2 linked regions of the Drosophila melanogaster genome follow. The protein of the gene in region 2 purifies or fractionates together with the protein of the main gene of each other region. This does not show direct contact. Each region holds a gene or a part of one and is shown on either strand. Other genes may lie near its edges.

Region 1 (16,823 bases), on a different chromosome or scaffold from region 2:
TCATAACTACTACCATTTTTGAAATAGCCACAAATCTTAAAGCAAGTAGAGTAATGCATTAGCTTTGCTTAATAAATAAGACTAGCACATCACCAAATTTTGAACGAGGCAAACCTTGCGGCAACGATTTAGGCACCTACCAAGAATGTCGACTAGCTCGGCTTCGATGTGGTTGTTGGGCTGAAACTTGCGCTCTTCCTCTTGGGCGGCCTGCGGATCGCCGTTTTCTCCATCGCCAGCCGCTCCGCCATTGTTGCCTGCAGCGGTGGAGTCGTCGTCCCTAGCCTCGTTGGTGTTCGATGTGGATAGCTTGCGACCGCCAGCCCTTCCATTGGTGGTGCGTGCTCCGCCGCTCGGTGCTGTGGCGGACGTTGAGTTGCGGGAATTGCGTGTCGAGGCCGGACCATTCCGGGCAGTGCTCTGCGGGATTGTGCTGCTGGGGCGGCTGTTTTGCGTTGCCGGAGTGGTGCGGCGGTTGTTCGGTGCGGCTCTTCGGCCAACGGCCTGAGTGGTGGGTGGTGGCTTCGGCGGACCCCACACATCTGGATCCTTGGGCGGAGGCGTCCAAATGTCGGGGTCCGGCTTGAACCAGGCAGATGGATCTTTACTGGTGGTGCTTTCTTCGCTGAGCTGGTGTCGCAGCTTGTGTGCAAATTTGGTTGACTGTAGGTCCAGCGAGATGTCTTGTAGGGTTCTCTGAATGGCCTTGATTTTGGCGTGCTCCTGGCTAATCTGCTGGTTGATCTGCAAATCGAAGATCAGTTAGTTAAATGATGTCAATGAAATCGTCCGGTATGGTAAATATTAAACTTTTTGAAAATACTTGGTTTATTATGATCTATTGGAGTTTTAGCCAGTTACTTTGTGCCAGTAGTGCTAGAAATTACTTTGTAATTCAAATTTTAGTCATTCGGTAGTGTTCTGATTAAATTAAATCTTTATATGCACGTTAACGATCTAGATAACTCGTTTACACAAAACCTCTTGGGCAATTTTGAATGGCGTTGACAAGATGTTATGACTAAGTCCTTTGTTTGTCATAACCGTCACCATTCGCATTCATTGGCATGGTAGTTGACAGTATCTGGAGGTGGTGATAGGAATGTCTTACCATGCTCCACTTGCCCTTGCGTAGCGGATCCGCGGTGGCCTTCAGCTGGCGGGCGAGCAGCCCCTGGAGGCCCTCATAGTAGATGCAGGCTGAGTCGTAGTTGCCCGTCAGAGCCATGTCCCGTGCTAATTTGGCATTCTCGCATATTTCTTCAAACGTAGTCTTGGCCATTACGGTCATTCCTACGCAAGTGGTTGTCTTTTGCTTGCCACCTCGCAGTAACTGGCGATCGGAACAGGTTGTCGTCATTGTAGCCAAAAACGAGAGACAGAGATTAGTTCCAATTAAAGCGCTCGAGTGCGTGAGTTTCTCCAAGTGTTGCTGGGTGGGAAGGGGAACAATAGAACGGAAGCGACTTCGTCATTCGCTGGCTCGCCTTGCAGGTAAAAATGGAAAGTGCGCCTCCCAGCCAGAAGCGAATAAAGTGGAAAACCCGGCGACAATTGCGAATAATAGAAGATGCCAGTGGCAACGACCCAAGTGAGCTGCTAATTATAAATTATCAGGCGCACAGCCGCCGACTTGTCACCAAATTTAAACGCAACGCGCTCCGATTTTCAATTCCGCCTCCAAGGCGGGACGTGGGCCAAATGCCGATTGGAAAATGTATTAGGTAGTTATGAGCCGAATAAGGCGTTCGACCTTGTTGGCTTTGAATGATTCTTTCAACTCGACTCAAATCGTCGTATGCAAAAAAAAAAAAAAAAACAAAAAACACAATAGTAAAAACAACAAAATTAACGCTCGCACACACACACGCACACTCAGCTCAGGTTTCAGCGGCACACAACACACACTTTCGCACACACGCACACGGGCGCACAATGGGTCGAATTAATGCGATCTAAATAGAATTTGAGTTAATTGCAAGCCTCTGGACACAGCAAACTGCACTTTGCATTCGACACTTCACCGTATTTCTTATTCTTATGCTTCTTATTTTATTTCCAGCTATGTGGGGGCGTCTGCAGCTGCAGCAACCACAAGAGCAACAACAACAGCAGCGCTGACGTCTCGCCGCCGCACACCTACAATTGCAGCTGAGCAGTTCGCGGGCGACTTACGGTTATGGACATTAGTGTACTAGCTTTGTTACGCGGCGTTCCGAGCGCAAAATGAATGCGTAAACTATTTAATTCAGAGTTTAAGGTGCTGCGGTAGCTAAAATAAACTGCTGCCTGCCTGTGTTTGTAATACTAGTGATGTGCGTGCTCTGGTGATGCGGGGCTTATCGATACATCGGCGCGGACACTTGACCACCCTGTTGCGTTCCCTGTGTGCAACAGTCGGCGACTATCGATTGTTTCCAGAGCTGCTAAAAATATATTTCTAAATTTACAACGAATTACAAGAAAATAAAAAGAAAATCTCCGTATCGTGTCTATCGATTATAAATCAATATACAATATGTAAGTATATTTTCCAGTTCTAGAATTTGTCTCCGAGCCACACATTACCATCCCTGAGCGCCACTGCAATAAAAGCTATATTAATCGCTAAAACATTTGCACTACTGTAACACCAGTCTGGCATCGCTGTGATATAGATAAGGCCAGTACGACAAGTCATCGGTTATCGGTTCTTAACATTTCGGCTTAACGTGCTTAAACTCATTTAAATTTAGACACCACTCAAGCGACGGTGCCGCAATGACAACGCCCACGCGCGCCACCCTGGAAAAGGCTCTGAAAAGCGACCAGAAGCTTGTGAATTCCGCCACACAGATAGCCAAGGGCAGGTTTACACCCGCATCCGTGTCGAATGTGCCCTTCTCATAGAGATTCTTTGTTTCCTCCAGATCTGACCGCCAAGGCATATGACATATCTGCTCTGGCCGAGGCACTGGGCTTCGCCCTGTCCTCTCCGGACATGGAGGAGCGTGTGGCCGGAACCAACTTGCTCTCCGCCGTGTTGATAGCACTGCCCCAGGATCTGCTGCAAGAGCGGCAGCTGGAGTTCCTCAGCACCTTTTACATGGACCGCCTGCGCGACCATCACAACGTAATGCCAGCCATTATCGATGGAATCGACGCCCTGGTTCACATGAAAGCTCTACCGCGCGCCCAGATTCCCCAGATTCTGCAGTCATTCTTCGAGCACACCACCTGCCAGTCGCAGACGCGGAGCGACCGCACCAAGCTGTTCCACATTTTCCAGTACTTGACGGAAAACTTCCAGGACGGTGAGCCCTGATTTCATTTTAGCATGAAAGATACATTGACATTGCTTTAATCCGATTTAAACAAGTCAGTGTGCAAAAAAGTTATAATTAGATGATTTTAACTAGTCGAACAGATATTTGCGACAATCTTAGTACCTTTTATTTCCGTTATTTTTAGAAAATATTACACAATATTACAACTCAAACAAATCAATTTTCTTCCCGATACAGAGCTGCAAGCGATGGCCGGTGACTTCGTCTACGGCCTGATCAATTCCATTGACGGCGAGCGTGACCCCCGCAACCTTGACATCATTTTCAGCTTCATGCCCGAGTTCTTGTCAACGTATCCGCTGCTGCATTTGGCCGAAGAGATGTTTGAGATCTTTGCGTGTTACTTTCCAATCGACTTTAATCCCAGCAAGCAGGATCCAGCGGCCATAACCCGTGATGAATTGTCCAAGAAGTTGACTAACTGCCTGGTAGCCAACAACGAATTCGCTGAGGGCACAGTGGTACTGGCCATAGAAAAGCTGGAGAGTGAGTTGCTGGTTGCCAAACTGGACTCCATAGAACTGCTGGCAAGAAAACGTAACATTTTGAAATGCCTCTTTTTATACATGCTATTTATTGTTACAGCACCAAGCTGCCGTGAAGTTCCCGCCTTCCGTTCTGGAGCCGCACTTCGATCAGATATGGCAGGCTCTGAAAACAGAGACTTTTCCAGGAAATGACAATGAGGAGATACTGAAAGCTTCCCTTAAGGCGTTGTCTGCGCTCCTGGAGAGAGCTGCTCACATACCGGATATAAGCCACAGCTACCAGAGCTCTATTCTGGGCGTAATTCTACCGCATCTCAGCGATGTCAATCAGCGGCTCTTCCATCCTGCCACCGGGATCGCCTTAGTTTGTGTATCGGGAGATGCGCCCTATGCAGCGGACAAAATCCTCAACAGCTTTTTGCTCAAGCTGCAGGCCGCAGATGCTAGTTCTGAGCAGCGGATCAAGATCTATTACATAGTTAGCCAAGTCTATAAGCTATCTGCGTTGCGTGGCTCTCTCCAGAAATTGGACACCACGATACGCGAGTCTGTGCAGGACGATGTAATCGCCTCCCTACGCCTAATTGAACAGGAAGAGTTCGATGCCAAGAAGGAGGACTTGGAGTTGCAGAAGGCGGCCCTTTCGGTGCTTAACGAAAGTGCTCCTCTTCTCAACGAGAAACAACGCGCTTTAATTTACAAAGCTCTGGTTCAGCTTGTCAGCCATCCGTCCATCGACATCGATTTCACCACACTGACGGTTAGCCTTGGAGCCCTGCAACCGGTGGAGGTGCAGTCAAATTTCATTGATGTTTGCGTGCGAAATTTCGAGATTTTCTCCACATTTGTCAAACGAAAGATATACACAAATTTATTGCCGCTCATGCCTCAAATAGCGTTCACTCAACGCATTCTAGATTTGGTTATGACACAGACGTTTAACGATACTACTGCAGAGCCCGTCCGTTTATTGGCTCTGGAAGCATTAAACAAACTGCTCCTGCTAGCGGATCAGCGCTTTATCGTGGACGTGCAGCAGGAGTCCAATCTTCTTCACAAGCTCATCGAACTGGGCCAGAAGACCGAGGGTCTGTCTATGCAGTCGCTAGAACAGATTGCGGGCGCTTTAAGTCGTATCACGCAACAGCTCCCGCTCTCCGAACAAAGCGCTATAGTAAGCGAGTATCTTCCTGGACTCAATCTGAGTCAATCGGCTGATTTGTACATTACCAAGGGCCTGCTGGGCTACCTTCATAAAGACATAACCCTGGATGACCACTTCGAGCGGCTTCTGACCGATTTGACGCAGCTTTCGCTTAATTCGGACAACGAACAGTTGCGTGTAATCGCTCACCACCTGCTCTGTAGCATGGTCAACAAGATGGAGTCGAACCCAGCTAATCTAAGGAAGGTCAAAAAAATCACGGAGCAACTGAAGGTGGCTATTAAAAAGGGCGATGTTCGGGCGGTGGAGATCCTTGCATGGGTGGGGAAGGGCCTAGTAGTCGCAGGATTCGATGAGGCTGCCGATGTTGTTGGTGATGTATGTACTAGTATAGCCATTTTAGTTCTCTAGTTCTTATTCGTGAAATAATATTGTCTCATTAAAGCTCTCGGATCTACTAAAACATCCCAGTTTGAGCACTGCCGCTGCCTTGGGATTCGACATCATTGCCGCCGAGTACCCAGAATTGGATTTGCCTGTCGTTAAATTCCTCTACAAGCAGAAGCTTTTCCACACTATCATGGGAAAAATGGGCAGCAAACTTGCCAACTACTGTGTGCACCACTTGAAGGCTTTTGTCTACGTACTGAAAGCCACGCCACAGGCGGTTATTAAGCTAAACATTGAGCAGCTCGGTCCGCTGCTTTTCAAGAGCTTGGAGGAGCACAACGAGGCGCAGTCGCTGTGCATTGCATTGGGCATCTGTGAAAAGTTTGTGGCGCAGCAGGACACGTATTTCCAAGGGCATTTGGCCCACCTCATACCCAGCTGTCTGGAGCTGTCGAAATACAAGGCTCAGCATACCATGGTAAGTTAAACATGCACATATTATTATAAAGATTTGATAGTTAATTGAGGAGGTTTCTTAACTTGTAAAGGAAAATGTCGAACACAAAACTTAAACTCATTTTCTTTCTTATAGCAAGTGCGAATTGCGGCGCTGCAGCTGCTCTACGATGTGACAAAGTATCCTACCTTCGTCCTGTTGCCCCACAAAGTCGATGTTACTCTGGCCCTGGCCGCCGCCTTGGATGATCCCAAGCGTCTGGTGCGGAACACAGCGGTGAAGGCCAGGAATGCGTGGTACCTGGTCGGTGCGCCTAGTCCGAATTAGCAGAGAAACAACTCCGTTCTTGTTAATATTATAATCCAATAAGCACACGCACAAATTCTTCATAATTTTCTTGTTGTTTTTATTAGGGTGCGTTGAAGAATTTTTGATAAAGAATTTGGAAAAAGCAAAATTATAAAGTAAACGCGAAATTGTATGCATTTTATATTACTTAGATACATTTACGAACGTTTATGCGCAAATGTATTAAAGTTTAAGATGTTAAGAAAGAAATGCTTATTTCTTTTCTTAAAGGCACCTTTTTCTGTTTTATGACTTGAGACTCTTACAGTCGGTTACTAAAATTTGTATTTTTAAACTGTACGTGTTTATCAATACCAACTGGTAACCAATCTGAAGTGTCTGTTCAGTATGGGTGTTCGCACTGGGAACGGGCCATAAGAGCGCACTTTTGTGCACGCTGCACCACCTCGGGACATCGACGTCGTCTCATAAAGCGGCAGTCTTGAAAGAATCCCTCGTTTCTGGGAAAGCCGTGCGTGAAGTCCTGGAACGTCAGCAATCCCAGGCCCCAGATCTTGCCGCCTCGAAACTCGCCCTCGTACTTCATTCCATCGGCTCTCCAGAAGATCCCATTACCATGAAACCAGCCCTGATGAAACTCGCCTTCGTATCTGTCTTAAAAATGTGCAAAATGAATCATCATATACAATTTTCTTCACTGGATGCAAACCCTAGGTAAATTATAGCTAAACCATTTCTGATCAAGAATATATATACTAGCATTTCCTCTTACTCCCCGAGTAGTGGCTACAAGAATAGTTTTCAAGTGCTACAATATTTCGTTTAGGTTTACATCACTAATATTATTGAAACTGACTTTGCTCCATCCGCGAACCAGAGGCAGCCCACTCCTTGACTAAGACCCTCCTGGAACTGCCCATCGTAGCGGGTGCCATCGGCGAACTGCAGATGCCCGATGCCGTGCTTTTGGCCACGCTGGTTCCACTCGCCGATGTAGCGACTGGCGTCCTCGTATCGCCATCCGCCCACTTTGACCGCCCCTGCGCTGTACTGGCTTTGACCCTGGCCCTGTTGGTGGTGTCCATGCTGACCCTGCTGGTGGGGGTGCTGTTGGTGCTGGTTCTCGATTCGGGCCGTGGTCACGCCCACGCTGCTCACTGGGTAATGATTTTTACGCAATTTTGTATCTGCATCCTTTTGTCTGTGTTCACTTACTGTCATCATCGTAGTCGTCCATGGCCATTGCTCCGCTACCGCCCGCGATGCGCTTCAAGCTGCTACTGAGCTGGCTGGTTCTGCACCAGAAACACTCATTTTCTATGGCTTCCCACGGTGCGACGGCCCTGGTCTAAATCTAATTAACATATTGCACTTCTACACACTGACAAAGTGTTTGAAAATCAATCATCAAAATCACTGGGTCAAATGTTCCAGTAATTGAAGCAGTTATAAATATTTCTTAACAGCCAATAATACTCTGGCACCCATATTTAATCAAACCATTTTAATCGAATAATTTGAATACATCTCACATAAATTCAACATTTTTCTTGATCCAACCAACCATCAATCTTGACCAACTGTTGCTGCGGCCAGAGCTGTCATGGATTCAATAATAAACCCAACCAGGTTTTAATTCTTGTACAATTTATTGTTATTTTCAATTAAAGCGGAATATGTGGATGCAGACTTTTTCGTGAGATTACAGATGTCTGAAATGATTATACTATATAGGCGAAGCTTTGAAACTCAACGACTCCTTATCGTGACGGTTGAAGAACATGGAAACAGAATTAATTGTACACAAAGTTACTGGCTAAATTATTAACCTAGATATAGTCGTATGCTTGTATATAATTGGACTCAAAGCAAGTCTAGGCCAGCACAGCCGAAGTGGCCATTTCGCTGACGCCGCAAGTGTTGTCACCACGATAAACGCGATAATAGCCCTGCTCTCCCCAGCGCGGACCCCACGAGTTCTTCACAATCCAGTAGGGCAAGGTCTTGTGGAAATTGGGATAGTCGGAGACGCCATACCCCACAACTAGAACACCGTGGTCGAGGTTTTTCTTGGAGCACAGGGCCTTCCACGGATGGGAAACTCCGCCGCGATAGAACTGCATAGCATTCGCATTGATGCCTAGAGAAATGATCTGGTTAAGTGGGCTTTGGGGTTAATTTTCTGCATCGACTTACCGATCGAAATGGGACCATTGGCGAGAAGCCACTCCTGCATGGCGGTCTCATTTCCCTTCGGCAGATCCACGAAGCCGGCAACCTGAACGTGGGACAAAGTCCTGTTGAAGTGGCACTGATTCTTTTTGGCCTTGTATGGGTACTCAGCCTCGTACTCTAGGCCGCCAATATCCTTAATGGCCCTGCGGAGGAATTATTACATAAGTATCTACATCGTAATGTTCATTCCCTCGTAACTTACTTGTAAGCATTGTCCATGAGGCCGCCGTTGCAGGCACTATCCGTGGTATCACAGTCCAGCAGCTCCTGTTCGGAGAACTCTTTCAATTCGCCCGTTTTCACTGCGTACAGGCCTTCGATGTTGCCGGTCACACTGAAGGCCCAGCATGAACCGCAGGATCCCTGATTCTTCACCTGGGTGACAGCATCCTTCTGCCTCCAGTCAAACTCCTTCGGCAGTTCACCATGGTAAGCCGGTACGACAGCCGCCGATCCGCCAGTGGCCTTTGCCTCATCACGCTGCCAGAGTCCCGTGCGTTCCTTGTATTCCGAGCTGGTCATATCAGCAAACTCCGTGATGCCGTACTTGGCGCTGCCCATCTCGTTGGCGTTTAGCTCCTCGATAGTCTTCAGGTTCTGACGGAAAATGCGCAGGCGCATCTGGCGCTCGGCGGTGCTTACGTAGCGACGGCCAAATCGCACCTGGAACTTGTAGAAGAGGTGGTCCACCTTGTCAAAGCGATGGCTGTGCTTCTTGTGCGTCTTCTTCTCGGCCCACTCCACGGATCGCGTGTGTCGGGCCTGGACCACCGGCTGGTTGCGGCACTTAAAGGTGATTTCGTGCTCATCCTTCCTCACCCAGACCTTTGTCCAGATATCCACGATACAGCGGTGCTGCTCCTCCGACCCGTCGATTAGATCCGCATCGATGCGGGTCAAGATGCCTGAATCCACTTGCCGCGAGGCTGAGTATACTTTCACAATTCTAGAGCACAGCAAACGAGCGAGTCAATTATAATGAATCAGACAAATCTACTTAATGCTTATTAATATAATAAAATGAAGAAAATCCTACAAGTTCTTCAAAAGTGTGTACGTTACATTTTTGAATAGTTTCTGAACCTTACTTCTCTACATTCTGCATGTTTAGTCTTAACTTTCTAGCTTTTATGGTTATGACCAGATCAACTCAGATTGTAACTCTGTTACGCTAAATCTAGCATACCCTTTGCTCTTACATTATTGGTTTAGTCACTTGAATTAATGGATACAAGCTTACTTGTAATGGGGACCCTCTCCCGCGGTCAGTTTGTCCAGAGATTTTTGCAGCTGCGCCTTCGCCGCCTCTTCATCGTAAGGCTTATGCCTACCCAAGATATCGTTCGCGCTGCGTCTGCTGCGATGGACCTGCAAAAAATGTATACATGCATAAAAATCTGGGACAATGTTGATAACATAGTAATCTAGCTTAATTACATAAACAGTAACTGCATGGCCATGGTCCAATCATCCGTCTGTTCATATAAACAAGAAATGCTAGAAAATGTAGTTTACGCATTCTACTGACGCAGATGCAGCACATGACACACAGCAATTGCAATAAATGAACTTTTCCTCTCGAATTTTCTTTATTTTTTGCACATTTCCATCAAGATTCCACTTCCACTTCATGAGTAATGGGTATTTAAAAGCCTTTCAAACGGATGCCATTTAATTCCAGGCTAGTTCCAACTTTTTATGGAATCTCGGAAATATTCCAATCTCGATTTATAAGCTCAGTAAACCATAAAAAGTGTTCACCATTGATTGTTTAATTTTAATGTCGCTAAAACGTCGAGATTAACGCGAACTACTCGTGAAAATATAAAATTTTACAATAACATGCTTTTTGGGGCTATATCTTCGATTAAAATATTTGTTTTCGTTCTCCGTCCACGTAGAGCGCATACAATGAAGATTCCGTCTGACCAAAATTTGGAGAAGCGGTTTCACGAATCGAACTACTTGAATGCCAACTGCTTCGAATGCGAAATGAACTAACTGCGCTGTGGCCCAGAACCATATCGGTGAACAGGAGATGGGGATCGAGAATCAAAGACCGCATTCAAAGGGCACAATGTAGTCGTCTAGCAGCCGCACGCGGCGGAGTCTTCCTTGCGAGTCCACGCCCACGTCACCGCCACTGGATGCAGTCTGCTGTCCGACTTTGAGCCCCTCCTCCTCCTCATTCCTCAGCTCAACCTGGTGTCGCTGCACCACCAACATGCCGGCTGCTATTGCCGCCTCCTGGCGCAGCCATCCGGACATGATCCAGACACGGCGAATGCAGGTTGTCAGTGCGAATCGTTCCATAATGGAAGGAATCTCTGCACAAACCGTGTTTATCGATCAATAAACTTTAAAAAAAAATGTTAAGTATTTACGCACCTTACAAAATATTAAAAAATATATGTCTAGTGGCTTCGGACTGAGGTAACCGAGTAATGTAAACTGAATTTGGACTGGGACGCAAACGACATTGACAACTTAGCTCGACTCCAGGCCCTACTTTGACCTTTATTTTCGAAATGTTTTGCAGGTAGTCCTTACCTCCTTTTATATACCTTCATTATTTCTTTAGGCTTGAATGGGAAACAGACAAGTGAAGATTCCATTAATCCTATACAATATATCCCACCCATACATTCCACGCATCACGCCAAAAGACAAGCCAAATCAGCCCTTTGTTTGCTGTCTGTGAGTTCGCTAATCTTGTGCTAATTACGGAACAGGGAAACACTTATCCATTACAAACAGACACACAGCTGTCACCACATCAGACCTCCGACACCACGAGCAGTGGTGGGTAGGAGTGGAGGGAACATAAGTTATATGCGAATGTAGGTAAAACAAGGATATGTCTGAATTTACATTACCGAATCTGACAAAACGACACATCGTTCTAGTACACGTGGCTGGAAGAGTTTGCGGCAAGGAACATGGCGGTCCAAAGGCATCTCCCATCCCCCAGAATGTGGGATACGCCAACAATAACATCGACAGACACAAGCGGCCCATAAACCATTCAATGCTGAACACAAAACCAATTAAACCAAACATTTCGGCTGGATATTCGTTTGCCGCCTGGCATCGATGATGGTACGAGTAATATGTTGATGCCGTTGATGGGAGTTGGTTTCTGAGGATCCGGAGCCCCAGTCTCTGCCAAATCCACACCCACAGCCAGGAGCCAAATGTCTGCTCCTGCTGTCACACCCGGGCAACTGGCATGGCGAATGCGAATAAGGATTGCAGGTGGAACCACACTCGAAACATTTTATGGCCTACAAGGGCTAGGAAAACATGTAAGTTGAGGAGGAAAAGAACGAATTATATCTTCTATACTACTGTTTGCCCTTGGAGGGAGTTATCCATATATACTTATTTATTCAAAAATTCCAATGTGCGGCTTTAGAAACTTTCAAGCCGAAATGCAGTGCAAATACTTTTGAAGTGCAGGAGGTCACCTATGTAGCGACAACAATACCGAATGGAATGTAATGGCTACGACGTGTGTATAATTAAAAATACAGGAACACAAAAAGAGGCCGTCGCTGGAACTGGGAGTCCGTGGTCATCCCTATAGATGTGTGCATACTGTGTCCGAACATGAATTCATTAAGCTGCCTGCTAAGCACTCCCTTTTCCAGCCTCATCTCAGTTCAACTGGCCTGGCCTACTATCCAACCCATTTTAGCCCATCCCATCGCATCCTATCCCATCTCATTCCATCGAGACGGGGGGAACTGTTAATTCAAATGTGTATTTCAATAAGAATTATATCGTAAATGATGTTTCCACGACCCTGGGGCAACAGAGGAGAACCCTGGGCATGGAGTATGTGGCTCCTGTGGGTGGGAGCAGTGTGCAATGGTCCGTGAAATCCATTCGGATGTATAGACAGTGAAGTGCTGAACGCGGCGCTATACTTTCTGACAGTTGCCGTAAATCAGCAATGCAACTGAACTGAATGGTTCTCGTTTTCAAAGCACTTAATTAATTTATTCCGCGATGACTTTTCCAGGAGCTCATTAGGCACTTATATGGGTTGGAAATAATGTTGGCAAAGGAATTTCCGATTGTTGAACATGTCCAACGAAGATTGAAGCGAATTATCGCGTTCAAATGTAATTTATTTCCCTCTTCGGCAGCTGGATTTAAACAAAGTAATTAAATAATGGATTTATTAATTGGAAGTCAAAAGTTACACTCCCCGCAGTGGCTATTTAATTCCTAAATCCGGTAAAGACCAAATGCCCCTTCAGTTTAAATTCAATATGGTACAATGTAGATACTCCTGCTCACAAAATTTCCAATCAATGGATTGCGATCAAACGGCTCACACTTGGAAAACCCACGCTCTAGAGCAGCGTCGCCACCATTAAAATTGCAGATTGTGTCATTGATTACTTAACCCCTTATGCTCTCGACGCGAAGTCGGGTGGAAAGTGGCCACCGACCGCCGGAGACAAATCGCCCAGACCCACTGTGCGTGGCACCACAGAGCCAACTGCTGTAAAAAGTAGAGCACAAGGATAATGAGAACACTTGCCTCGCACCACTCTGTGTATTTCAGCTTCTGTCGACACCGCGGGCACTACACGGCGAGCGGGAGGGGAATCCTGAGCCTCCACCCACTTAACCTCTCATACATACCGGCACTTGGGGCCAACCCAACCCCAGTTCACAGCCAAGACATATAGACAGGTGCAGATGGCCCCTGCACAGGTGCCACGAATACGGCTAAGATACGGCGGGTTAAACAGATTGCGGCCGTAATTTGAGAGCGGAAACTCATTTGATTATTAAGGTGAAATAAGTGTTCTGCCATGCCGACGAACCCAACCATCATCATCACATCGCCATCGTCATCAGGTGAAAAGGCAGGCTTAAATAAATTCAATTAAATAACATTTTCCTTTTTTATTGTTCGCATTAGGGTGAGTATGTATAATGAGTGGGCTGAGTATTTATATGAGAAAGACAGAGACTCTGAACGATGGGGCTGGCTGTGTGTGTGAGTGTGTGTGTGTGTGTCTGGGATGATAATGAGAATATTCATGATAATGCTGTCGGTATGGTAGTAGCCTCCACCTCGGGATCCTTCTGCTCCCGGCCGGCCTCCTCCTGTTGCTGCCCCTTCTCCTGACTCTTCTCGAAGTCATACGCACCCACCGATAGGAAATCGTCGAGCCAACGCTTCTCATTTTCGTTCAGCTCCGTGGCGATTGTGGTGGTGGCTACGACCTCCTCTTCGTGCTTGTCCTCCACCTCTTCTGCCTTTTCTTCCACATTATCAATGCTAATTGCCGTGGCCGTCTCATTAGTGGCGTCAGGTGGACTAAGCTTGGTGACTGCTATAGATGCGGTTAATACAGCAGGAGCTGCCGAATCCAGAGGGGCAGCCTCGGCAGGAGAAGGAGCAGCAGGAGAAGGTGCACGAACAGGAGCCGCTGAAGCGGTTTTGGTCAGACTGACCTTCCGCCTCATAGGTCCCAGGTTAGTGAGTATCTGTGACTCCAGATTGGCCATCTCTGCGTCGCTCAGTTCTTTCCTCTGACCGCCATTAAAGATGCTATTACTCACATATTTCTCGTTAAGCAGTCGCGCCTTCTCTGCCGGATCTCCGGCCACCGAGTTCACCGCTGGGTCGGTGCAATTGGAGGTAACCAGTTCGCGGTGCTTGTCGCCCCACTGGGTGCGCAGCCAAGGCTTTTCCAGGATGACCAGGCGGCAGACTATGTCCGCTTCCGCCGGCTGTATTGCCTTTGTGTCTAGCGCGTTTAGCAGGATCTCATAGCGCACTCCGGCGGTGATTTCCCGAAAGGCGTCGATGATATTCACAAAGTTCATCGACAGTGGCAGGAAGGTCATCGCAATGTTCTGGACACCAATCAGGTTGGGTGACAAATACTCCCGCTCGCCGGGATTCAGAACGTGGACCAGCGTGATCGGGGGCTCACTCACCGCCTGGTCCGTTGTTGTTTCTGAAGATTCCGTGCTCTATTTGTACGGGTTTTGAGGATTTGAACGGATTGGGGTGTTTGGGGATTGGTATGCGTTGTGGGGAAGGACGAAACAAAAGGCAAAACACATATGAGGATACACACATAGAGATTTCGTTTGGAATTGTAGCAGGCGTTGATGATCGATCCAGATGCCAAATTGGAGTTAGTGCGTCTTTGTAAGGGAGTGGGTGATGTTTCAATGGGGCAAGCCAAGCCGTGTGGTGATTGTGTGATTTACTGTTAAGTGCGGCTAACAAGCATAAGCCAGTTCACCATCAACATGGTTAATCCCACAAATTTAATTTAATTTCGATTTATACCAGTATACCGGGTTATTAGACCAGTCAACCCAAATTAGTTCTCCCATCAGTTTAAACACAGAATACAACAGGCATGGTTTTTGTTAAATTAAACGCTTAATTATCATTATGATTTGTGATGCCATCGATCCTGTTCAAATAATTTTGATTGATTAACCTATTCTTCTTATTAATAGAAATGTTATGCTGGGAGAGCTTGTCTAAATGACTAAACATTTTGCAATGCACGTTGCACCTAATAAGCCACCAACCATTAGCAAGAATATCCCCTTAATTTCCAATTCAGGAAAGCATTACAGCACATGGGGGTTTAAGGTTAATTTCAAATGAAAGCATTGCAAGCACCACGACCTCCTCCCCCAAAGGCTCAGTTAATCGATGCACCCCACACCGCCCCCATATGCACCTGCTCGGCCAGCCGGGCCTAAAGCCTAATGAACTCCGCATAATTGCAACTGCAATTGCGGTCAAAATGCGGCAATGGATCGGGACATCAGACGACCAATCAAGTCAATCACTGGCCAACGCTTGACTGGGCTTTTCAGGCCACAAAAACTAATTAACCGCCGTAACGAAACTGAAACGATGCGAGCCACATCGAACCGGTTGGTGGGGCAATGCCGCACAATCCATCGATAAATGATGAGACACAAATGCAGAAAACCGTTGACAGACAGTCAGTGGAACACTGCAGACGGATTTTGCTGAATAATTAAAAAAAAGTCGGAATCGCAAAAAGGCGGCCCACAATCTTTGGATTGCTTTGACTGTTGCTTCGGTGGGACCACTTGAAAAAATGAAATATCTTGAAGTGTAGTGACAGTATCGATGTCTCAAGAATCCCGACAAATAGATTGCATTTATTTTGCAATAATTCCTTACCTATGGATAACATTATTGATAATTGGTTGTAAAGTTTAAAAGACAAAGTACTAAGGTGAAAAGCAAGAGAGTACTAAGACAATTTCGCGACCATCTTTTAAAATAAAATATTCTTAGGCCATATCATTTATATTCATAGCTCGCAAATTCTGTCTTAACGTTCAGTTAAGCCCTATGTAGCTTAGAGCTTAATGGACTTAGTGGCAGCTGTGAAACCACATTATTTCATAAGTGTATTTCTGCTATTGCTGCTGAAACATTGCAGTTGACAGCGACAGCAGCCGGCAGAAAAGTGAGGATGAGATGTGGGACGGGATGGATGGGGTCATCGGGTAGTTTGGGGGACTGGAATACTTGGCGTCTTGTTGACGTTTTGGTCGTTCATCCTCATTGCCGCTGACGTCGTGACAAAAAGCCGAAAAATGCATAAAAACTTTTGACAGCGGTTGCGTCACTGCAAGCGACGTTGATGCCCGCCTGATGCTCAAGCTGATTATGTTGAGTGGGTGGATCGAGGGTCCGGGAATGGAGCATTGGTACTATGCGATGGAGCGATGGGCGATGAAGCCATTGTAGGTTGGAGCTATGCGCTGTGCTGCCGGAGCTTGTTTTTCAATTAAACTTTATGGCATTTTAAACAACATCGCAAGCCATACCAAAATACGATGATGGGTTTTTAAGTTCTGCGCCACGCCCACTGGTAACTTCGCTCCGTTTGTTGTCCTGGCAACTCCTTGGCAAAAGAGCAACCAATTTATGCAATACGCAGTCGGTCGTAAGCCTGTTGCCATCTTTCAGTACACTCGTGTGCACTGAGCGCATCTAGGGATTATAGATAGTGGATTCTGTCACCCGAACATTCTGGTTAATATGTGAAGGGGTATCTTCGAGTGCCAGAAAGTGTTCACAGTATCGCATTCGGTAATGGTATAGTAGTTAAAAAATAGTTGCGTCTAGTGTATGGTAACTACATTCATTTCATTCTATTCAGTTATTGAGTAACTCCAATAATATAGACACGGATTTGCCACAAACCTAAATTATGGAAAACTGATTTAACTAAAAAGTGCCGTTTAACTCCACTGCGCACCATAAGCTGTATATGTACTTAATGTGTGTATTTTGGCGCGCTTACTTTTCGGAACACTTTCCATCAATCAGCCAATCGAATTCCCTGATCTGGGCAAACACAACGCGCCAACACGATAAGCTCCTGCTGCAGTCACTGGCTTACTGAACTCGA
Region 2 (13,609 bases):
TCCATCGGGAGCAGCGTAGCTCACGGATCCGGCAGCTTGGACTCCACCCACTCCACTCTCCTGGGCATCGATGCCGTTGGACGTTCCGTATTCCCAGCTGTATGAGCCATCCGGCTTGATCTCGTTGCGGTACTTGGTGGTCTCGGCCTGAGATTCGTCTGCAGCCCGGATGGCGGCCACCAGGAACAGGGAAATGATTAGCGCCTTGATGCCGGAAAAGATACACCAATTAGATGTGCTATTATAGCTATTATCGCATCGGACTTACGGTCTTGATCATTTTGGTGTTGGATTTGCTGCAGTTGCTACTGATTGCTGATTACTGATCTCCAAGTTCGGCGACAGATCGTTTTATACTCGCAACGATCACTGACCTACACCTACACCATCGCCGAACAGGTGACTCTTCGCCATTCCGAATTATTAATTTAATTCGCGCATTTGAAAATATGAATTTGACCGCGTTTTTACGAGCTTAGTAGTTCGCCTAATAGCTGCTTTGTCATCTGTTGTTTGTTTTAACTACGGTTTTACGACCCAGGTGCTCTATAACCCAGGCCAACTTATGAGTAAAGGCCTCTCCTTATCTGCGCCTTAGAAATCACAGATCAACGATCTCGATTTACAGACGCTGCCACACAATGGCTCTTTTCTTATCTAATCTTGACTTATATTCATAATAAATAAATAAATCGTAAGCCGAATTTGGAGTTACCAGAAATATTTCAGCGAATATGACACACTCTTTCTCTTGAGTAAAATTAATGTATAATAATACAAATGTATATGATTTGGGGAGTGATACATTTTCTAAAAGAAACATTTAAAATATATATGTATTATACATTTAATGTAACATTTAATTTTAAAAGGAAAAGCTGACTGTACTAGAAATAAATTTTATTTAAATTTAAAAGATTTAATTAAACTAAAAATGTATAAAAATATTTTGATTATAAGTGAATGGGTATTGAGCTTTCAGTGATCACCAAACCCAGTTACCAAGTCAACGTACCGCCTACTGAATAGTTAGAGTATCCGATATGGAGGCGCCAAAATACTCTACGCTCTGTCACTCGATTAGCGGCTTTTGTTGTTAATGATATGCAAATGAAATATGAATGCGGGCAAATGCCGGCAGAGCAGTTTGCTTTTGGATCTGAGACGAACTTGAAACTCTAACAAAACACCAAGTGTCATCGTAAATGTCTAACGACTGCTGCCGATTTGAGATAGTTATAGTTTAGCGTGCATTTAAATAAGTTTTGAAACCTTTGGCATTTTGGTGTTATCCAAAAAGTATACTATTGAATATAAGTTTTTATTAGCACAGACTATGGTGTTAATGTAGTGTGTGTGGTAAGTAAGCCAAAACAATTCATATGTATATAATATAACAGCTTATAAATCACTCCAACAAATACCAAGTTTTATACTCGTTAATCGTAGAGTAAGTGGGTACTTTAGATTCGATGAAAAGTTTGTAACAGGATGAAGGATCTGCGATCGATCTGCCAAGTGTCCGTACGTCTGTCTGAACTTTGAGGTCTCCGGAAATATGAAACCTACAAAATTCGAATTAAATATGCAGTTTCCAGACTTTGCTCACAAACTTCAAAAAAATGTTACGCCCACTATTTTTTAAAAATTGTTTGCTCGACTATAGCGTTTTCTCTGCTGTTTTCACACTGACTTACAATTGCATTAGTAAAAAGTTATTTTTATCGATTTGAATACCCGTTTTAAACAAAGGGTATGAAACAGAAATTGTTAAATTGTTGTTATAGATGATGGTTTTTCTTGATTATGATCGTTAAATGTCCTTCAATCATATCCTTGGATTTATGATGCTAAGGAGTTGGGATTTATTTTTTTGATATTCCCCACGGTTATTTTTTGAATTCTGATCTTGGTCCATGTAAACCTAAGCAACGCAAATTTGACTTTTAAGATTGTTTTCTTTACATCTTCGACGTTTATTTCATTTCTACATTTACATTTTTACGATTCGTAATAAAGCTTTTCATATGTATGTTGGCACATTCTAGTCCCGATTTCGATTAACCAAAGACCTTCTTGAGGGCGGGCCTGCGGTACTCCTGCTCGACATACTGGGGATGGGTACGGATGTACTCCAAGCTCCTAAGGATGGCAGCTGGGATTGGGGGAGGAGTGGGCAGGAGAGCTCCCTGTGGCTGGTAGCCGTTCTCGTCGGCCACGTACGAGATCTGGACGAGCTCACCCTCTGGCGAGTACCACGAGAAGCCTCCGTTGGCGTGGTTTCCACCAATTCCGGACTCCTGGGCGGCGATGCCGTTGCTGGTCTCGTACTGGTAGTTGTAGTTGCCCTCGGGCTGGATGTCGGAGCCGATCTTGGTGATGTAGGCACCAGCTTCCTGGTTGTAGGTGGCGGCACCGTAGGCGCAGGCCAGGACGGCGGAGGCGACGAGCATCTAGAAGACAATGTTATTATTGCAATTTGGTTTTTGATGAAATTTCCAATGTCTTGAAAGGCCAATTCTATCCATGGTATCTAAGTCCGGTAACTGTTTTCTATTTTACTTATTTTTTGTGTTAATCCTTATCGTTAGTATAAACTATTTATTATATTGGTTAATATTTTGATATTTTTAGTGTCACTAATTGTCGTTTTCCACTGCTGTGCTATAGTTATCCTTGCGATATACTTACGTAGCGGAACATATTGGCTGATTTGGAGGAGTTCGTGTGTCTGCGACTAAGAGACGACTCTGAATGATGACTCTGTGGCGGGGCAGCAATGTTTTATACGAATTCTCGATACGAAACCCGATCCACCCAAACAACTTTTACGGCAGACGGCAGGAAACTCATATGAATGACAATGGCCAAACTGAGATTGATCAAACTGGAGCGGCTTAAAAAGGTAAAGAGCCAAAAAACGCACTTAAATTTGGCTCTTAACTTTTGCATAAGTATTCATCTGGCAAGATAGTTATATTTAACATCAAATTATGCATATATTAAAAAAGTCATATTCACATATATTTTAATAGTATCTAATAAGTTTTAATTAAGAATTAACATTTTTTAATTGATTAAATTCAACAATCGATCCTTATAAAGTATTATACGATTTATTTCACCAAATTATGGTACAAAATATTAAAGATGAGATAATCAACTCGTTATCATTTTGAAATGAGCAGATTAATTAAACAGATTAAAAGGGCAGTTTAATAAACTAAACCCATGATACTACTGGTAAAACTCTATTTTTTAAGTAAGCAATTGTTTTTGATTAGTTATCTAAAATATATTTGTTCATTTTAAAGGCCATAAAAATAAACAGTTCAACCTGTGTCGCAATAAGGGAACATATTTTATTTAAATAAGTGGTGTCAAGTAGATGGTATTGGTCGGAATAAGTACTACAGATCGTTTTATAGGGCAAGTACCCCTATAATTTCAAGGACTTGATAGTTAATTTCTGCTCGACAACGGATGGAAAGTTTGTGGTATTTAATTTGGTTCTTAAAATCTGACATAGAATTGCCTGTATATTCGCACTATAAAACAAATAGGAAGGTAAAGTAAGCATATCCTTAAAAAAATAGTTTTAACAAGAAAATTTGAGAAAATTGAAATATTAATATAGGTAATAATAAAGGTGCAATTGAAATATGTTTGCTACGTTTCCTCGTGGGATCTTAAACCATATTTCATATATTAAGCACCCATTATTCTAGTTCATCCAAAATGTTTGAAATAGTTTAAACAAACATAGATTTATGTAATTTTTTTCTTCTTTATTTTAAAACATTTTTTAAATCGTAATAAAGCTCTTTTAAAATGTTATCACATAAGACTTCCGCTCCCGCTTAACCAAAGACCTTCCTGAGGGCGGGCCTGCGGTACTCCTGCTCGACGTATTGGGGATGGGTGCGGATGTACTCCAAGCTCCTAAGGATGGCAGCTGGGATTGGAGGAGGAGTGGGCAGGAGAGCTCCCTGGGGCTGGTAACCGTTCTCGTCGGCCACGTACGAGATCTGGACGAGCTCACCCTCGGGCGAGTACCACGAGAAGCCTCCGTTGGCGTGGTTTCCTCCAATTCCGGACTCCTGGGCGGCGATGCCGTTGCTGGTCTCGTATTGGTAGTTGTAGTTGCCCTCGGGCTGGATGTCGGAACCGATCTTGGTGATGTAGGCACCAGCTTCCTGGTTGTAGGTGGCGGCACCGTAGGCGCAGGCCAGGATAGCGGAGGCGACGAGCAGCTATAAAAGCAGGTGGATCCCAGTCAGTTACAAATTGATCATAGACGTTTTTGGATTGAGTCCATAGGAGTTTAAAATATTTTAAGATGTTTAAAATATCTTAAAGAATTCTAAACACAACTCGTTTTAGGTCGAAGTAAATATCCTTTTGACTTACGTAGCGGAACATCTTTGCTGGCTTGGAGTGCGTTTGTCTAAACTGAGAGACGACTCTGAATGGTGACTTTACTGCAGACTGTTTAGGTTTTTATACCAATTGTCGACATCAAACCAGATCCACCGAAACAACTTTTACGCTCTGCTGCAGGAAACTCATCTGAATAACAATAAAATCGAATAGCCGAAATTGGCCAAACTGGAGCACTAAGAGTGACTTGAGAGCCAAAGAGCTACGCACAAGTTCAAAAATCCACTCTTTTCGTTTTCAATCAAACCAAGATGTGATGCACATTCAAACAACTAAGGTGAAGATATATAATATAATATATAAATAATATATAAATTGTATATGTATATATATATATATAATATATACAACTATGTATGGCCTTTTCAAACATTCATTTCACATAATTAAAGAGTTTTTCAAATACTTTAAAGCTTAATTTAATAATTAATTTAATAATTAATTTTATGTTATGTTTGTATGTTAACTAAGTTTATTTAGGTGCTTAAATTTTCTTTAAAATGTATTACTTGATACACATTATTTTCCTTCTTAGGCACCTTATTTCTAGATAAGGTCCTACCAGCTTGACCGCTGCTGTGCGTGTGGGCATTGCAAAGAGCAAAAGTTAATACGAACCCCATGCGGCAATGTCAATGTCGCAGCCACATAGGTCGGCTTGGAGGTTCGAGATCCGCAGACTCCAGTTTCTGGTTCCAAATTCAGTTTCAGGCGGCGCACCCAAAAAATTGTATTAATTAAATGCATTTAAAACACCGACCAGTCTCGATACAATTTTAGCATAATTTATGGTTTTACTCCGGTCTGCTCAATGGTTAACTTTTCCAGTTCGATAAGTCAAACCTTTTCTTGGCTCTACGCGTGTGATGAAGTCCGTCTGAGGTGCTGAAATGTGTGCGTTTAACAAATTGGGCCATTAAAGTGAGTTAATGCCTAATTGGTACACAAGTGAGATATCAAACTGGATTAACCCGTTGCCAGGCGCGCCTAATCCGCCTTATCCAAAATCCAAATACTACCAAACGTATCGTGTCACCAGCGGCACCTTTAATGCGATTTTTCAAAATATTGTATCATATTCTAGCACAGTGGTTCGCAACCAGTTCTTCAGTCAGCAGGAAGCTTTTAAAATTAATAGTATCGAATATCTTTCTGAAAACAATCGAGTTTATGTTAATTTCTTTAGGTACCGATTAGTAAAAGTATATATGATTATATGACTTTCCACGTCTTAAAGTTGTGACAAATTGTTTCTTTTAATGACCTCTTAAATAATGTTTTAAATATTTTGAGAATAAATGAAATATTTGCATTTAATAAAACGAGTTCAATATCCTCACTCAAGTGCACTAAAAATGTAAGACATATTTTTCCTTATTTTGGACCTGGATGCTAAAAAATCTTTAATAAATACTTATATCATATTTAAAGCCTTAAAATCGTTTGATCCTTTAATGTCTGCCTTCTGCACACTGTGCTGATAGGTTTTCGATGTGCCAATGAAATTATTCAACCTGGGGGGGCATGGCCTTGGGCAGATATGTATCCATCCGATGAGAACACGTCGCTCGTAAAACTAAACTTTATGACACGCCAAGAGTGAAATAGTCCGTCTGCTCGGATCGATAGGAAGTGCTTGTGTTGCGTTTAATACAAAGTTGGATTTGTGTGTTTCGGTAACATGGTAACGTCGTGCCAAAGACATTCAAAAGATTTATTGAATTTAGGCACAGTCTTGTGGTAATTCTGAGAACAGATCGAACATCGATTACGTACTTAGCACCCTTGGATTTGCTGTCGTCACGAAGTCAGTCGGGGGATCCCCTCTGAACTTTATTCCCATAATTATGCATAGTGCCGAGATATGATTATGATTATTAATTTAATGCCACTTATTAATGCCGTGTTATGAGCAGGCTGCCTTTAAAAGTGTGGCTATAAAGTGATTAGATCTCTTAAAGCTTAGTCTTTAGTGTCACTGAATCAACCTTGTCGAAGTTTTCGCATAAATTTAAATTAATCATACTAAAATAGATTTTAGTCGCTCAATTTAGCCGAATGTTGTAAGTCGTTTAAGGGCGATATAGCCAAGTTTGGACAAGAAGACATATATGTATAGAAATAAATCCCAAAAGATAGTACCGACAAAAAAAGAGTAAGGTCGATTCGAAATGGCCAAAATGATGACATTTGATATATTTGAGTGACTACTTATTAACGATTATCTTTTGTAGTCTGATCGATATTCAAAAACTGCATCATTCGTTCGGTCAGCAACATTTTAGGCATAAACTTGTTCCAAATATTATAATATTTTTAGTAGACTTATTCGGTTTTCTCGTTTCTTTTTTTTATTAATATACAAATTGGCATCGCTATGAGATGCGCGTCAATGGCTTCGGCGGCTTCAATAATTCACACCGATTTCGGGCTATAGATATGTATAATTTCGTATATAATCTCTCCGTTTCGATTCAGTTTTATGCAGATCAGGCGTCAATATTGGTGCAAGTTTTGTCAACCATGCCGAAAAGAATTTATAATTTATTTTTCCCATGCCAATCTGCACATAAAGAGAATCGTATTTCTAAAGAGAACTGAATGTATCCGATTTTTAAGCACGGACGAAATATACACTATTTTAAATGAAATTGAAATATTATAAAATATCATATATTAGCAATCGTTCCAATTAAATTGATTTAAAAATATGCACACAAAACTTTTTAGTTTACCTTTCATTTGAAGAGTATTTTATTTGATTTTCTTAGATTTTATTTTGGATTTATTTCATTCACTTACATTTCAGGTAGGAACTTCATTTTATATTTTCTAAATAAATAGCAACTATTTTTTCTATGTTATATAAAAATACTTTTAATGACTAGGTCAATGCATACGCAACCCTCTTATTTCGAGGCAAATAATTTTATTCAAGCTGCTTTAAAAGGTTGTCATGTGTCCAAACATTAAGACTTCATTATTAGTGTATTAAATTGAATGCAAATTAATTGGGCTGAACTCGTGTGCATATTAATTGGACTAAAACTGAAACTGAAACCGAAACTGATACATATATTGCCAAATTTGTCATTTTGACTTTTAGCATTTTCCCATAACCTGTTGGCCTTCCGGGATGTCATAGAGCGGGTAATATTTAAATAGCTTTTAGCAGCGAGTTGCGAGATTATTAATGTAGTTTTCCAAAAATTAACTGACTCTTAATTTATAGGTCTCCTAATTTGAAGATGACTTTTAGCACCTTCCACAATGTTGTTTGCTTGAGAACCAATTTCTTGTTTGAAATTGAATTAAGAACATTTTCCAGACTCAACTAGCAATCAAAAAATGTTTTATATTTACGTTTAAATGCCCCTTAAAATGTCATATTTTCGTTACGGAGTTTTAACCAATGTTAATATTTACATTGAATATAATATAATAGTAATAATAAGAATAATAATGATATAGATTCGTATCGAAATAAAAGAGAACTTCTAAAGAATTTGAGAAAGTTAAGAGGCAGGCTACTGGATTTTTGTCAGTAGTGATTTTATTTCAAATAAAATTTTAAGTCAACACGAAATTTTGACCAAGCTTAATTTCTCAAGAGGTTGATGTACATACCCAGAAACGTAAAAAGTAATGTAAGCGAAATGTTTGATAAATATAAGTATTAAAAACATCAAAATTTGTCCCAAAGAAACTTGTCATATTACATTTTTGTTTTTGTATTTCGTTTTGTTTTTTTTTTAACTAAACTACAATGTATAAATTTCCAAATTAATTAATTTATTAATTAAAGTTTTTTATTATTTAAGTTTTTTGAATTTATTTCTTTTCATTTAAACTTTTAGCGGTAATCTATAGTCTTGCTAAGTAGCGCCAGAGGGCGCTTTTCCGGAACAGCTGTGACTCTGCTTCTTTATTGCCGTTCACCCGCACGCGTAACTGTGTCCATCTCGCTCGCACTCGCCTAGCTCAAAACGAGGCGAATTTTATCATTTAATTTTATTTTGACCAAATTACGAGCGCTGCGCGGAAAATGTTGGCCCACAGGATGCAGCTTTGGAGGACAACAAACGCGGCAATGGCCATGACTTCCGCAGCCGGCCGTTTCACCCCACAGGTGAGTGAAGATCATTGAAAAAGAGCCGGCGACCTGTGACATAACCTGCAAGTTGGCCAATGTTTGTGTTCGAAAATGTACGCAAATTTCAATGAAAACTCTGTTTGCCAGGCATCCACGGGCAGCAGGAGAGATCTCTACCTCCAAAGGATTACCAGGGGCAGCAGTCTGCCCTTAGCGGCCCCCGAAAAATGGTCCAATCTCGGCCAGCTTCGTTTCGCCAGCGGTGGAGCAACTGCAGCGGGAGTTTCAGCCACCAAAGGCGAGGAGTTCATGCAGGCTGTGCCGAAAACGGAACTAGTGGATCTGCCGGACATACCCGCCGCTCCAGTGCCTCCACCCGCCGATGGTCTGAATGTAATGGATGTGATGAATGCCGCTGGCGAACCCTCCTTCGCCTCCATTGGCTTGGGCGGCTGGTCTCCGGTGGGCATGGTACAGAACTGTTTGGAATTCTTGCACTGCACGTGGGATATTCCCTGGTGGGGAACCATCGCCATTGGAACACTCGCAGTGCGAACCATAATCTTTCCATTGGTCATCTTGGCCCAAAGGAACTCTGCCAAGATGAACAACAATATGCCGCAGATGCAGATGCTGCAGCTGAAAATGACCGAGGCCAGGCAGTCGGGAAACGCCATTGAGTCCGCTCGTTATGCCCAGGAAATGATGCTGTTCATGCGGGAGAAGGGTGTCAATCCGCTCAAGAACATGGTAGTTCCCTTGGCCCAGGCACCGCTCTTCATTAGCTTCTTCATGGGACTGCGACAGATGGCTAACGCGCCGGTCGAATCAATGCGGGATGGCGGACTCTTCTGGTTCACGGATCTCACAATGGCGGATCCCTTCTATCTACTGCCCTTAATCACCAGTGCCACGTTGTACCTGACCATTGAGATCGGAACGGATTCGGCTCGCTTATCGGCTGCCAACATGAACACCATGAAATATGTGCTCAGAGCCCTGCCCATTGTTATCTTCCCGTTTACGATGAACTTCCCCGCTGCCATTTTGACCTATTGGGCGTGCAGTAACTTTATATCGTTGGGGCAGGTTGCGGTGCTAAGGATTCCCTCCGTGAGGGAGTACTTCAAGATCGAAAAGATGCTGACCCATGCGCCCAGTGCACTGCCACCTAAGAAGGGATTCGTCGGCGGAATGAAGGAGTGTAAGTAACAAGGACTGTCCCGCTTCATCTTTTACCTCTTTCGATTTACAACCTTTCTGTTTTGACTTTTCCAGCCTGGGACAACATGAAGATCTCGAAAGAAATCGAGGAGCGACAGCGCCTGGACGAGATCCGATTCGCCAAGGCCGGCAAGGGTCCGCTGGTCAAGACGTACAAGTTCGATCCCACGAAAGTGGCAAAACCCATTTCCGCGGAGCCGCACATGCGGCTAAAGGAGCCGCCGAACAAGCAGGGATAGTTCCTCCATCCTGTAATCGCCGCTGAGCGCTGTGTCTTGTTACGTTAATTTAACCCCTTAGTCTATAGTCCTTCATCATCCGAACGTTTTGCTGCTAAAATATAATTTGTAAATGTACAGAGGCAAACTTCTTGCTGATGAAACCTGATTTGAGAAGTTGGAGACAAAGTTTTGGTAGATGTAATCGCTGTAAAAATAAACTCGTCATGGAAGATACGAATGTATATAAAAACATGATCAGCTATAAATGAAATTGGTGAGTGTTTTCAGTTCAGATAAGATACGGTCCCGAAAGACAATCAAATATACAATTAATTGCGGATAGCTAACGCATTACTATAAAAAATATGGAAATGCTCAGCAAATACTATTAGTCTCAGTTTAAATGCCGTGCAATCAAAAACCATCAATCAATCGAAGCCGGTGTGAATTTTCAAGTTGCTGACCTCGATTATTAGCTTTTAGTTAGCATAGGCTCAGGTAATAAATAAAAGATTTAATAGCAATTATAATAACTAGAGAAGTAGAAGCAAAGCATTTACATGTTTTTAATGGCAAACCATAAAGATTGGTTGGATAGTTTAAAAACCATTTTGGATTATTTATCTATCCAAACAAGTCTAGTCATAGACATAAAAACAATGATGATTCCTAACCATACGTGGAATGCAAACTTGAAATAGGAAATAATTTAGTTTCTCTGACAGACAATTCGATTTGAGTAAAAGGTTATTATTACTACTTAACCAGCTGAGAAAGAGTACCCAATAATTAAATGATGTATGGCGAATGTCCATGTTATTGCTACCTACTAATAACTAACAATTAAGATAATAAACATTACAATGTCTGAAAAATTAAAATCGATCCAAATTTCGGGAAAGGAAAACAGGCACAAACTGCTTTTAAAACAAAATTATTATTACTAAACCAACATCATTATATATATATTTATATATATCTAAAACGAGGATAAAATCATGTAGTTAACCCTTGGCGGCGATGCACTGGTTGATCACCTCGGCGAGGTGATTGTTCTCCAGGGCGGCGGCCACTCGTTCCTTGTCTGCCAGCTGCTTGTTCACCGCCAGCTCGGAGGCGTGGGTGCCGGGCGTTATTTCCACGGTGACCTTAAAGCGAGGTGGCAGCGAGCGGAGCAACTTCACCCGGATGGAGAGGCCAATCAAAGTGGCCATCGAGCAATGGGGAATCGTCGGGGTGAAGCTGATGTGCACGGAATTCTGGCTATCGTTTATCCGGATTAGATCTTCCTGCACCACATGCAGCTCCTCCAGGGTCAAAGGATGTTCCGGGTCATTAATATTTCTGATGAGATCTGGGAAATACGCGAGTCATAAGATATATTCCTTAGCTATCTTCTTTGAACTCACCGAAAATCTCTCGTTTGTCAAATGGATCGGGCACGTTTTCGTCTTCTTCGTTGGCGGTTAATACCCTTTCCTTGATTCTGTCGTAGACATTGGGGTTGATGTTCTCGATTTCCGTGGGCATTTTGTATTGTTCTTTTCTTGAAAACCCTTTATTTACACGTTTTTTTGGCGAAGAGCAAAGAGAAACAATAAGCTATGTCTTTCAGTGTGTCCGCAGTTTTTAGACTATAAGATACAAAATAACACCACGTCTAGTTTATGGTGTGCACACACTTTTTGGGCGCCAACATTATTTGAATTCGAAATTGATCTCATTTTCATAGTTTCATCTAACAGAGCATTTAATTAGTTATACATTTATGCGCATCTTACGCTATTAAAGTTAGTTAATGAAATCTTTTTAATTAATGACAGTAGCCTTTTTTAAGGTTGGAATTATTTGAATACAAATTCAAGAAAATCAGGGCAATTACTAGATCAATCAAATCACAACGTACACTTCCAGGAAAACATCGCACAATTGATATGTTTACCTGTCATCTTACGTAAAGGGCGTAATTACAGACGCCTCGCGATCCATATTTATGTGCTCTTCAAATTAGCTGCGGGAATACTTAACTTAAGTTAGCCGAGCTTAACTTTTTTGCGAGCCAGTGCTAAATGGCCAGCAGATGTGGATGTGGATGAGTCCGTACTTGGCTGCGCTGCTGACTAAGCCTTGAGCCCATTTCGCCGGCCAAACCCGCTTTTATTTTCCATATTTTTATTCCATTTTGCCGCTTTTACGAGAAGCAGCGTTGCCGAGAAGCCGGCGCACTTGACGCCGATTTCCTCGGGTTATAATTAGCCAGACTTATCAATATCAACGTAGAAAAGCAGATTTACATTGTGAACGGGTTTCCGCGCACTTGGCGTGCATCTATTCGCAATTAGCACCGAATTACAAACTGGTTAACAGCCGCTGCCAACGGAGTGGAGAAGCCTGCGGTCGCCCATTTGGGTTTATAAAATGGGTCGCCACTTGGCTGAGATCAGCAGTTTGGGTCACATCTCCAAGCGGTCAGCATGAAGTCGGTTGTAAGTCAAGATCTCAGTTCTCTTGAAGATTATCCCTGAGTTTTCCATACAAGCTATTGTAATCGGTTAATTAATGAGGGCTATAAATTTTATCTTTTGAATATAAAATACGTTTTAATCTATTTGTGTTGCACATTTTCTTAGATTATTCTCTTAGCCCTGGTGGCTTTCTGCCACGCAGCACCTCTGGATGTCAAGGAGTCTACCTCTGAGGAGCTCTCTAGGCCCAGTCCCATCAGCCCCGATGTGCTCGTTGATCCCAAGCCCACCGCCAAGGTAGTCTTGCTGAAGGATGCTCCCGTCCTGAATCGCCAGAGGCGTAATGAACCCAAGAAGCCCGACAGCGTGGAGGCCCACGAACAGCTGCATCACTCGCAGCCGGCCGTTCCTATTCATGACCAGAAGCCTTCTCCGGCTGGGCCACAGGACCACAAGCGCAAGAGGGAAGCTCACCACGAGGAGGGTCACCATGGTGACGATGCAGTGCCCCAGAAGGAGGAAGTGAAGCAAGCTCCCGAGGACCATGACGCCAAGAAGGAAAAGAGAGAGGCTCACCATGAGGAGGGTCACCAAGACCATGAGGCTCCTCATAAGGAGGAAGTGAAGCAGGCCCCCGAAGCTCATGATGCCAAAAGGGAAAAGCGAGAGGCTCACCACGAGGAAGGCCACCATGGTGATGATGCAGCTCCACATAAGGAGGAAGTGAAGCAGGCTCCCGAAACACATGAGGACAAGAAGGAAAAGAGGGAAGCTCACCACGAGGAGGGCCACAAGGATGAGGCAGGTGATCGTCCTCAGGTGGAGGATCTTTCGCTGCCCCATGCCCTGCCCGCTGTGGCCCACACCGCCGAGCTGCCCAAGAAGCAGGAAAAGCGCGAGACTGTGGAGAAACCCGACAGCGTGAAGGCCCGTGAGTCGCTCCAGCACAATCCCCAGCGATCCCAGGAGCTCCACAAGGCCATCGAATCTCTGGCCGGTGGAAAGGCGCCGGAACAGCGTCACCAGCGCGATATTCCCGTGCCCACGCAAACCAAAGCCACCACCACCACCGATCTCCCATCCACCACCAAATCGGAGCTGGAAAGCACCACTCCGTCCATCCACAATCTCCACATCCCCCATCCCATTCCCGTGGCCGAGCTCTT

The links.
Region 1: the proteins of galla-2 (region 2) and Mms19 purify together in Drosophila melanogaster (affinity purification with western blotting; one study listed by BioGRID). This does not show direct contact.

What each region holds. Positions count from the first base shown.
Region 1 is NT_033777.3:5,229,882-5,246,704, forward strand, and holds Mms19 (Mms19), read left to right. Parts: upstream 1-2,661; 5' UTR 2,662-2,760; coding exon 2,761-2,845; intron 2,846-2,909; coding exon 2,910-3,293; intron 3,294-3,503; coding exon 3,504-3,853; intron 3,854-3,911; coding exon 3,912-5,357; intron 5,358-5,424; coding exon 5,425-5,847; intron 5,848-5,961; coding exon 5,962-6,153; 3' UTR 6,154-6,407; downstream 6,408-16,823. Other genes in the region: Kat60 (katanin 60), read right to left, coding at 141-744, 1,112-1,432, 2,176-2,187; rtp (retinophilin), read right to left, coding at 6,518-6,785, 6,992-7,292, 7,351-7,378; CtsF (cathepsin F), read right to left, coding at 8,010-8,275, 8,332-8,513, 8,573-9,316, 9,611-9,738, 13,957-14,373; CG33293 (uncharacterized protein), read right to left, coding at 10,423-10,683. UniProt on the Drosophila melanogaster protein: Key component of the cytosolic iron-sulfur protein assembly (CIA) complex, a multiprotein complex that mediates the incorporation of iron-sulfur cluster into apoproteins specifically involved in DNA metabolism and genomic integrity.
Region 2 is NT_037436.4:10,880,862-10,894,470, reverse strand, and holds galla-2 (galla-2), read right to left. Parts: upstream 11,582-13,609; 5' UTR 11,509-11,581; coding exon 11,388-11,508; intron 11,333-11,387; coding exon 10,983-11,332; 3' UTR 10,898-10,982; downstream 1-10,897. Other genes in the region: Cpr67Fb (cuticular protein 67Fb), read right to left, coding at 1-204, 269-280; Cpr67Fa2 (cuticular protein 67Fa2), read right to left, coding at 2,061-2,453, 2,692-2,703; Cpr67Fa1 (cuticular protein 67Fa1), read right to left, coding at 3,861-4,253, 4,411-4,422; OXA1L mitochondrial inner membrane protein, read left to right, coding at 8,486-8,569, 8,681-9,737, 9,812-9,996; CG6409 (uncharacterized protein), read left to right, coding at 12,453-12,464, 12,609-13,609. UniProt on the Drosophila melanogaster protein: Component of the crb-galla-Xpd (CGX) complex which is essential for proper mitotic chromosome segregation in early embryos. The CGX complex is also required for cell proliferation in developing wing disks.